Xenopus tropicalis: one gene and its partner. The protein of the gene in region 2 purifies or fractionates together with the protein of the main gene of each other region. This does not show direct contact. Links are inferred from orthologs where the notes say so. Each region holds a gene or a part of one and is shown on either strand. Other genes may lie near its edges.

Region 1 (4,726 bases), about 18 Mb from region 2:
CGACCTTACAATTCTGTGGCAACGTTTCTGCTTGGCTTTCTTACTTCCTTTCCTCTGATTCCCCATCCATTGTACTAGGTGACTTACCTGTTAACAATCCTAATGCCCCTGCTGTCTCTAAACTCCTTTCACTAACATCCTCCTTTGGGTTATCTCTGTGCTTTGATTCCCCCTCCCCCTCTCACTCCAATGGAAACTCCCTGGATCTTATATTTACGAAATGTTGTTCTATCTCAAACTTCACTAACTCCCCTTTTCCCCCTCTCTGATCACAATAACTCTCGCTAACTCCCTCTACACCCTCTGCTGTCCCCCAAACATGCACATGCACCGAGACCTGCAATCCCTAAACACGTCACACCTCTCTTCTTCCTTTGACTTTCTTCATTCTAACATCCTAACTGTCTCTTGTCCTAAGCAGGCTACCTCTGTCTACTACAGCACACTCGCCACTGCCCTTAATGAGCTTGCTCCTGCCAAGACAAAATGCATGAGGCCCAAACCACTCCAACCCTGGCACACTGCTCGTACACTTGAGTGCCACTGGCGCAAATCAAGATCAGAATCAGATTTCTGCAGCTACAAATCTGCTCTGCTCTCCTATAATATCACCCTCTGCCAAGCTAAACAAACCTACTTCACTGCACTCATTAACTCCCTCTCTAAAAAACCTTCTCTACCTTTAACTCTGCTGTCCCCTTCTCCACCTCCTCCGTGTGCTACGGTCACTGCTCAACCCATTGCAGAGCACTTTAAAAATAAAATTGACACCATCCGTAGTGACATTGCACAACTTAATACCCATAACCATTCCCCTCCCTCTCTACATGCTACCCAGTCTCTTCTTGGCTCCTTCTCCCCAGTGACTGAAGAGGAAGTCTCAAAACTTTTGGCTTCCCCTCACCTTACTACCTGCCCGCTTGATCCCATTCCTACCAAACTTTTACGCAATGCCAACCCCTGTCTTATCAAAGCCTTAACTCATCTATTCGATCTCTCGCTCTCTACTGGAATCTTTCCATCCCAACTAAAACATGCACTTGTAACCCCTATTCTGAAAAAACCCTCCCTTGATCCCTCCAATCCTACTAACCTCCGACCTATCTCTCTGCTCCTGTTCATCTCCAAACTGGTCGAGCGCCTAGTTTACAACCGACTATTCCTCTCTGACAACAACCTCCTGGATCCCCTACAGTGTGGTTTTAGACTAACAGATGACCTCCTATCGGCTAATACCAAAAAACACTACTCGCTACTAATACTTCTCGATCTCTCTGCTGCTTTTGACACTGTGGATCACCCTCTTCTCCTCCAGTCTCTCCTCTCTTGGCCTTCGTGACACTGCCTTATCCTGGTTTTCATCTTATCTCTCAGATCGATCCTTCAGTGTCTCTAAAGGCCCCCATACACGGGCCGACTATAGGTGCCGATATCGGTCTCTTGGACCGATTCGGCAGCTAATCAGCCCGTGTATGGGCAGAACAGAGCGGCCTGGCCGACCGAGATCTGGCCTGAAATTGGATTGGGGACCGAATCGGCTCGTTGATGCGGTCCCCGAACCGACTGCCCCATAACCTCAAATGTAATCCGATCGTTGCTACCCGATATCGCCCACCTGTAGGTGGGGATATCGGGTGAAGATCCGCTCGCTTGGCTACATCGCCAAGCGAGCGGATCTTATAGTGTATGGGCACCTTTACAATGGGGAATCATCTTCTCCATTGCCTCTTTCTGTCGGGGTTCCTCAAGGCTCTGTCCTGAGCCCCTTACTATTTTCTCTCTATACCTCCTCAGTTGGCAAATTAATCAATTCTTTTGGCTTTCAGTACCACCTCTATGCTGACTATACTCAGATCTATCTTTCCTCTCCTGATCTCAACCCAGAGCTTCTAACTCGCGTCTCTTCCTGCCTGTCCGCTATCTCCACTTGGATGTCCCAACGTTAACTTAAATTAAAACCTCTCTAAGACTGAATTGGTTCTCTTTCCCCCATCCAATGCCCACGTTGTTCCTGAGGTATCTATAAAGGTTAACAATTCCACCATCACCCCATTTTTCCAGGCCCGTAGCCTTGGGGTTATCCTTGACTCTGCCCTGTCTTTCACTCCTCATATCCAGTCACTTATCAAATCATGTCACTTTCACCTAAGAAATATTTCCAAAATACGATCATTTATCACCCAAGATGCTGCCAAAATTCTTATTCACTCTCTTATAATAACTCGCCTGGACTACTGTAACTCCCTATTAATTGGCCTTCCCCTCCAAAGACTGTCCCCTCTCCAGTCCATAATGAATACTGCTGCCAGGCTCATACACCTCTCCAACCGCTCCTCCTCTGCCATGCCACTCTGCCAAGCCCTGCACTGGCTTCCCCTACCATCCAGGATAAAATTCAAACTAATGAATCTCACATACAAAGCAGTTCATAACTCTGCCCCAACCTACATCTCTGAACTTATCTCTAGGTACCATCCAACCCGCTTGTTGCGCTCCTCTACTGACCTGCTCCTCAACTCCTCTCTCATTCCCTCCTCACACACTCGCATTCAAGATTTTGCAAGGGCTGCCCCCCTTCTCTGGAATTTGCTCCCACAAATCAGACTTTCTCCCAATATCTCTGCCTTCAAGAGATCTCTAAAAACGCATTTATTTAGAGAAGCTTACCCTAATCTTGTTTAAAATAACCTCAGTGTGCTGCTAAAAGCAATAACCTGTGCCACACGTCTCACAACCCTTTCTCCTTGTAGATTGTAAGCTCTTTTGGGCAGGGCTCTCTTCACCTCTTGTATCGGTTATTGATTGCTTTATATGTTACTCTGTATGTCCAATGTATGAAACCCACTTATTGTACAGCGCTGCGGAATATGTTGGTGCTTTATAAATAAATGTTAATAATAATATACTGCATATTTATCTCAATTGTCAATCTAATAAACAAGGAGATTGTTGAAGCAGACTAAGACATTTTCAGATTCCAGTTGAGGAGTGCACTCCATACATCAGAAACATACTCCAGGAGAAGTTTTTTCTTCTCTTTGGTGCTCTTCTTTAAGAAAGTTACTTAATGCTTTATACATACAGTGTTCTACTTTATATGCAGTTAACAGTAGTTATGATGCACACTGATTGCTTCTCTTATTATTATTCTTTTGATAGTGAGGAACTTGGTGAATTCATGGAAATGAAAGGTGCCAACAGCCCAGGGATCCTTGTACTGACAACAGGTCTTAGTAAGCCATTTATGCGTCTGGACAAATACCCAACACTGCTAAAAGAGTTAGAACGACATATGGAGGTATTTTAGGAATTTTCTTTTATTTGCCAATCAGAATGACTTGTATATTGTAAACACAAGCACAATTGTTTTCATTGTGTTTTTGCAATAATAATGCTTTGTTTGTGGATCACACTGCAAATATTCCTTTATCACATTATTTAATATCAGGCATGTTTGTAGTATTCTGTGTTGTTTTGTGCAGCTTGCACTAAAAAGGTATTAGATGCAGTATGTCCTCTAGGATAAATCCAACACCAAAGTGCGCATTAACATAATGCATCACGGTACTGTAAGGAACATTACTCTGATTGATATATAAAACATTTAAGGAAATGATTTCTGCTGACTGAATTTCAATAAAATATATAACATTTTAAAAAGTATAAATCTAAAAATGGTTAGAATTGTACTTTCATGTTCATCTGATTGGTCTCTACTATTGATTGTGGGCTTCCCTTTTATAAATCAAACAAATCTAGAATGCAGTTGCCCTGGACCGTCATAATTGATTGTCAGTACACTTCTCTTTTAAGTTTTGCACATTTTGCTTCACTGTTGCATAAATAGAAAAGTTAGAGGCGCAATACCATTGCCAAGTTAAAGGAAAAAAGTAAGTTTATCTTTGATTTCTGTGGCCTTACTACTGTATGTGCCATGTGAAAAGAGAGTGTCAGACTGATTTTATTCAGTGAATCTTCAGTGGCTATGACTAGAGCCTCACTGTTCAGGCATATCTGTTCTCTGTTTATATGAGAAATGACTGCACTTGTATTGATCTGTTAATTTTTATTGGGGTGACAGGTAAAACACCAGTATTTACCAAGAACATTTCAACTTCCTTCCTAGTGGGTAAAGAAAGGCAATTTGAATATACAAAGTCCATGGTCCTTCCAGTTTGCCTTCTTTCTAATTATTAAGGGCCAACCACTTGATTGATCAAACTCTACTTGATTGACTGAAGTAATGCAGAATATAAAACTGGCTAGAGGAGTACTGTGTCTGATTAATCACAGCAGCTATGTTGTTCTTTGTATTGCAATATAGTTCCCTCTAGGTGGGGGTGTCGACAGTTGGTTATGGGGTGGGGCATTATATTATTGGGGTCATTGACAAGATGTAAATTGAACTCTTCTTACCAAGCACTACTCCCTGGGTTATCTTATAGCCTGTACAAAGATTCCATACATGTATTCTTGCGTAAGTATTTATCTGCTTTGAGCAAACATTTGTGCTGAAGATTTGAGGGTGCTGTGGCCCTTTATGCTTTTTTACTGCTTGTCTGAGAAAAAAGTATGATGTTTATTTTTGTACCTGTTTGTTTCAGGACTATCACCCAGATCGACCAGATATCCAGAAGTCTATGACTGCATTTAAGAATCTCTCTGTAAGATAAAATCATCTATATATTTAGGGAAAGAGTCAGGCTTTGAATGTATACCATGTGTT
Region 2 (4,726 bases):
TTTAACTTTCATTCTTCTTTAAGCTATCATTTGACACAGGAAACCACAATTTTGGAAGTCAAATATTTTGTCTGGCTGTTAGATCCTCTTATATTTGGGGTCTTTTTATGACTGGAAACTGGCAGGTTTACCCCTGGTTTCTTCCCCTATTTTGGACATGAAGTCATTTAGTTGGGTTATGTAAAAAATGTGCATAAACACTATCCAAACTTTCAGAAATATATATTTTTTTACACATACCTGATTCCACAGATTGAAAGGAAACCATGATAATCTATCTTGACTTGTATAAAATCATTTCCAAACCCCACTTAAGGCCCCCATACACGGGCCGATAGAAGCTGCCGATATCGGTCCCTTGGACCGACTCGGCAGCTTATCTGCCCGTGTAGGGGCAGAAACGAGTGGGCTGGCCGACCGATAGCTGGCCTGAAATTGGCCAGCTATCGGTCGGCCAGGTTAGAAAATCCAGTCTCGCATCATAATGCAACCCCTACCTTACTTAGTTCCATTGTGCAGTGAAGCATTCTGGGACTAGAAAGTCCCTACTTTCCATTGTGAGTGGTGCACAGATTCTTTGGAAAGCAGGAGGACGTCAATTACCAGAATCCATCACTACACAGTGGAACAAAGTAAGAAAGGGGTTGACGGTCATGGTTTTCTTTCAGTCTATGCAATCAGGTGTGTATATCTGGTTTCAGTTAACACCCACTTATCTTTAGCAGAATACTTCAGAATTAACTTAAAGCATCTACTGATGTGAAACCTGTTGATATTGTTCCAGAGAACTTATTGAAATGCTTGCACTTTCAAGGAACCAGAAGCTCAGCCAACCTGGTGAAGAGAACCAAGTGAGTCTGTAGATATGCAGTTTTGATTTACAGATTATAGAATGAATATAACTACAAAACAGTTGATTGCATTACTATTAATTTTACATATGTTACATCGTTTATATGCAATTGACATATTGCTAGCCTTGATGTAGTCAAAGGGATATGACTAGATAAAGGACAATTTGCAGTGTTTACATATTGATGAAATATGATCTAACTGTATATGATAAATATGATTTATATTTGAAAAGTTGTAATTCCTTTTTTATCAGTAAAAATAATCATTTGAGCCTGTCGACTTCTCTCCCTATTTTTAGTTGTATATATACCATAAAATTAAGCATCATCATGATAATAATTATTCATTTATAAAGTGCAATGATAACATAATTCTATTATTAAACATTATAACAAATGGGGGGGGGGGTCTTATAATAATTTAACAAACAAGTTATCGAATGAAATAGGATTTGACAGCCCTGCTCACAAGAGCTTACTATCTAAATAGCTTATACTTTCATCTAAATCTATAGGTATTCTTTCTTTTCAATTCAAAATGTGGCAATAATCCATCTATGTGGCAAGAGGAAAGATACTGTGCCTCCTCATCCTAGTTGGATATAACAACCCCAGCAGTATTTGATAGACACCAATAGGTTGCATTTGACTCTGTCTGCCCTCTGTGCAGTGAGCTATGGTAATGGCTTTTTTGCTCTCCTTTTAAATGGCAACAGTGCCCAGCAAATGTAACTTTTATTTGTATTATGGCTTACTATTTACTGCATGCCCCACTGAAATAAGCCTGCTGTATAATGTGTTAAACCCCCCAATCTCCCCCCCCCCTTCCTTAGTGCCCACAATGCAGATATTTGCCATGAAGGAGGAATAGCTGTTATGTGGGCATCCCTTATTTAAAGGAATACTATCAAGGGTACCAATGCTGTTTTAAAATACATTAGTTAATAGTATTCCTCACACAAATCCTCTGCTGAAATATAGCTAGGTTCAGAGGGCAGGTAACTGAGCATGCTGTCGGGGGGTACATTCCTCCTGGATAGTACTAAATGCAGAACTCTGCTGTACTGGTCTGTGAACGAGTGCAAGAATAGAAGGGTTGGTAGGAAATTCAGGTAAGGCACTGCAAACTGCTGGATTAGAGTGCCTTCTGTGGTACAGTGTGTGAAGTCTAGATAGAGGAGGAGCAGCAGCAGAAAGTATGTACTGAGACATGCTCTGTTGTGTATGACAAGGCAGTCTTACGGAGTAGTTACATTCTGTGATTCTGTTCATGATTTTAGTAGATACACAGCATGGAAATAAAATTTACTGACCTGGTAGATAGCAAGTATTATCAGAAGCAATGTTATAAATGAAAATTATAATAATATATAATTATATTATAAATAAAATATATGAAGTTACAAATTAGCAACTTAAGAGGTAATGCAATAAAAGGTCTAAAGTTTGCCCACACCTAGTAACCAACTGCAACCAATCAGATGCTTTCATACCACTGACCAGTAAATATCTGCTATCTGTTGACTGGTTGCTCTGGGTTACTAGACAAAATGCAGACTTGAGACTGTTTATTACATTCCCCCATTTATTTGGTAAAATACATTGTTTACGATGTGTATTACATAACAGGCAAATGCATTTTTTAGTAGTTAGTTGTTCATCCTTGCATTACCCTATCTCTCTCAGGTAACTTATCACAGTACCCAATTCTGTCTGTTTTTGTCAGATTTTAGAGTTACTAATTCAGAAGGATGGGGAATTCCAAGAACTAATGAAAGTGGCATTAAGCCAGGGGAAGATTCACCAAGAAATGCAGGTTTTAGAAAAAGAGGTGGAGAAGAGGGACAGTGATATCCAGCAACTACAGAAACAGCTGAAGGAAGCCGAACACATATTGGTAAGCTCTAGAAATAAACAACTGCTGGCAGCTTTTTGTCGTCTGCTTATATGGAACAAGCATGAGTTGATTCTGAGTAGAAATTTTTACCTCCGTGCTTATTCCTAACTGAGTAATAATCTTATTCCTAACTGAGTAATAATTATTGTATTGTTTTTTTAGGTATCTTGGTCCCCAGTGTTGCTATACTTTGCTTCAGGAAATGGGTTGTCTTGAACCAAAAGTACTTTTTCCTATGTATTAGCAATGCAACAGCTATTAGGGGACTGACACAACACTTTTATTAATAACTCCACAGCAGACAATCCAGTAATCCACAATGCAAGAGAGTTCTCTACTCACTTTGAGATACCACGGCAACAATTTAAATTTTGATTCTGTGTTATTTTTTCTTATTTAAATAATTCATTTATGCCTCTTTCCATCCTGGAATATGGTGTCATATTATCAGAATGACAAGTGCATTTTCAAGGATAAAAATCTCCTTACTAAGGTAAATTGGTAAATAATGCCATGCAATCTGGGGAAAATACAGTACTAATCTAACTGCACGTTTCCACAAGGTGTCAGTAAAGGGGTAGTTAAGTATATACGTTCTCATTTTAAAAACTAAATTTAGTTCAGGTCCTAAGCTGAAAAGTAATCACGTGTTCCACCACTTATCATAACAACATGGCATTAAAACCACTGTTTAATTGGAGCTAGCAGAGGGATTCTCTACCCAAAAACTGTTTTTACAAAACAAAAGGAAATGTAATTTAAGCAATTAAAATATAAATTAATTAAATAAAGGTTTTACAAATATTTATTGCAGGTGAATGTTGTATTTGTTTATTTCTTGCTGTTCTTTGGGTCTGATTCTTAAAATGTATCAAGAGTCATTTATTTTTTAGGTCCAGGCTTCAGTTGGCTTCTGCTATATTGTTTCAGAAGTCAGTGTCAGGAATGCAGACAATATAAACCAGTTTTTGTTTGGAGCTTATCTAAACTAATTGCTGTGACTAAGGAACACTAAGTTAGCTTTCTTTAGAATAAAAATACATGTATTTGGATAATAAAGCTTCTTTTACTAATGTTATCACTTTTTGAATGTTGGGGTCATCTATATTAGTGGATGTCAAACACAGGGCTTTCAGATGTTGTTGAACTACAACCTTCAGCACTTGGTGGGAATTTTAACCTCCTCTCTTTGCCTCGTATAATTTTATTTATACAGTGCTACTTTTCACTGAACAATAAATGAATAGAACAAATAGGGGTATTTACAATAACAAATACATAGGACAGTTGCAGTACAGACTAAGAGCTAAGGGCTCTGGCACACGGGGGAGATTAGTCGCCCGCGAACAGGTAGTTAATCGCGGGCGACTAATCTCCCCCGTGTGCCAGAGCCCTAAGTGTCAGAGACAAGAGGTCCTTGTCTCATAGAGCTTACAGTCATGCCTGTACTAGATTTTCAATGTACTGAGTTATGCTTTTCATATTCTGTTATATATGAATACCTAGATTCATTAGAATACTGTAAAAAGTGTGTTTAATTAAAATTGTGTTATTTCTTTTATCCTAAGGCAACAGCTGTCTACCAAGCTAAGGAAAAACTGAAATCAATAGATAAAGCAAGGAAGGGTGAGTGTGGAAGATTTTCATGAAACTAATGGCATAGTTTTGCACAAGGAATTATTCTAAAAAACAATATAACATACATAGGCCCCCACTGAGGTTCAAAATAGGCACTGGCATTTCAAGTACACAGATTCCAAACTGCTTCCCCCCTCCCCAGCCCACCAAATAGTGACTGGCATCTTACAGCAGCCCCTCTGAGATTTGCATGAATCCAAATATTTCCAGTCTGGGCCTGAATATACATCTATTTTTGCCCAACTGAAACTTAAACATTTTGGCACTCCCCAGTGAGTTTACATTTCCTTCTCCTTTAAATTTGCTTGAGTAGTGGAGAATTAAACCAGAAGGAAAC

What was found.
Region 1: the proteins of med4 (region 2) and arhgef7 purify together in Homo sapiens (affinity purification with mass spectrometry; 3 studies listed by BioGRID and IntAct, with this or other methods). This does not show direct contact. The link is inferred for Xenopus tropicalis from reciprocal best matches to the Homo sapiens genes MED4 and ARHGEF7.

The regions. Positions count from the first base shown.
Region 1 is NC_030678.2:116,927,671-116,932,396, reverse strand, and holds part of arhgef7 (rho guanine nucleotide exchange factor 7), read left to right. Parts: intron 1-3,159; coding exon 3,160-3,298; intron 3,299-4,604; coding exon 4,605-4,664; intron 4,665-4,726. UniProt on the Homo sapiens protein: Acts as a RAC1 guanine nucleotide exchange factor (GEF) and can induce membrane ruffling. Functions in cell migration, attachment and cell spreading. Promotes targeting of RAC1 to focal adhesions. May function as a positive regulator of apoptosis.
Region 2 is NC_030678.2:134,873,846-134,878,571, reverse strand, and holds part of med4 (mediator of RNA polymerase II transcription subunit 4), read left to right. Parts: intron 1-784; coding exon 785-851; intron 852-2,580; coding exon 2,581-2,751; intron 2,752-4,319; coding exon 4,320-4,377; intron 4,378-4,726. UniProt on the Homo sapiens protein: Component of the Mediator complex, a coactivator involved in the regulated transcription of nearly all RNA polymerase II-dependent genes.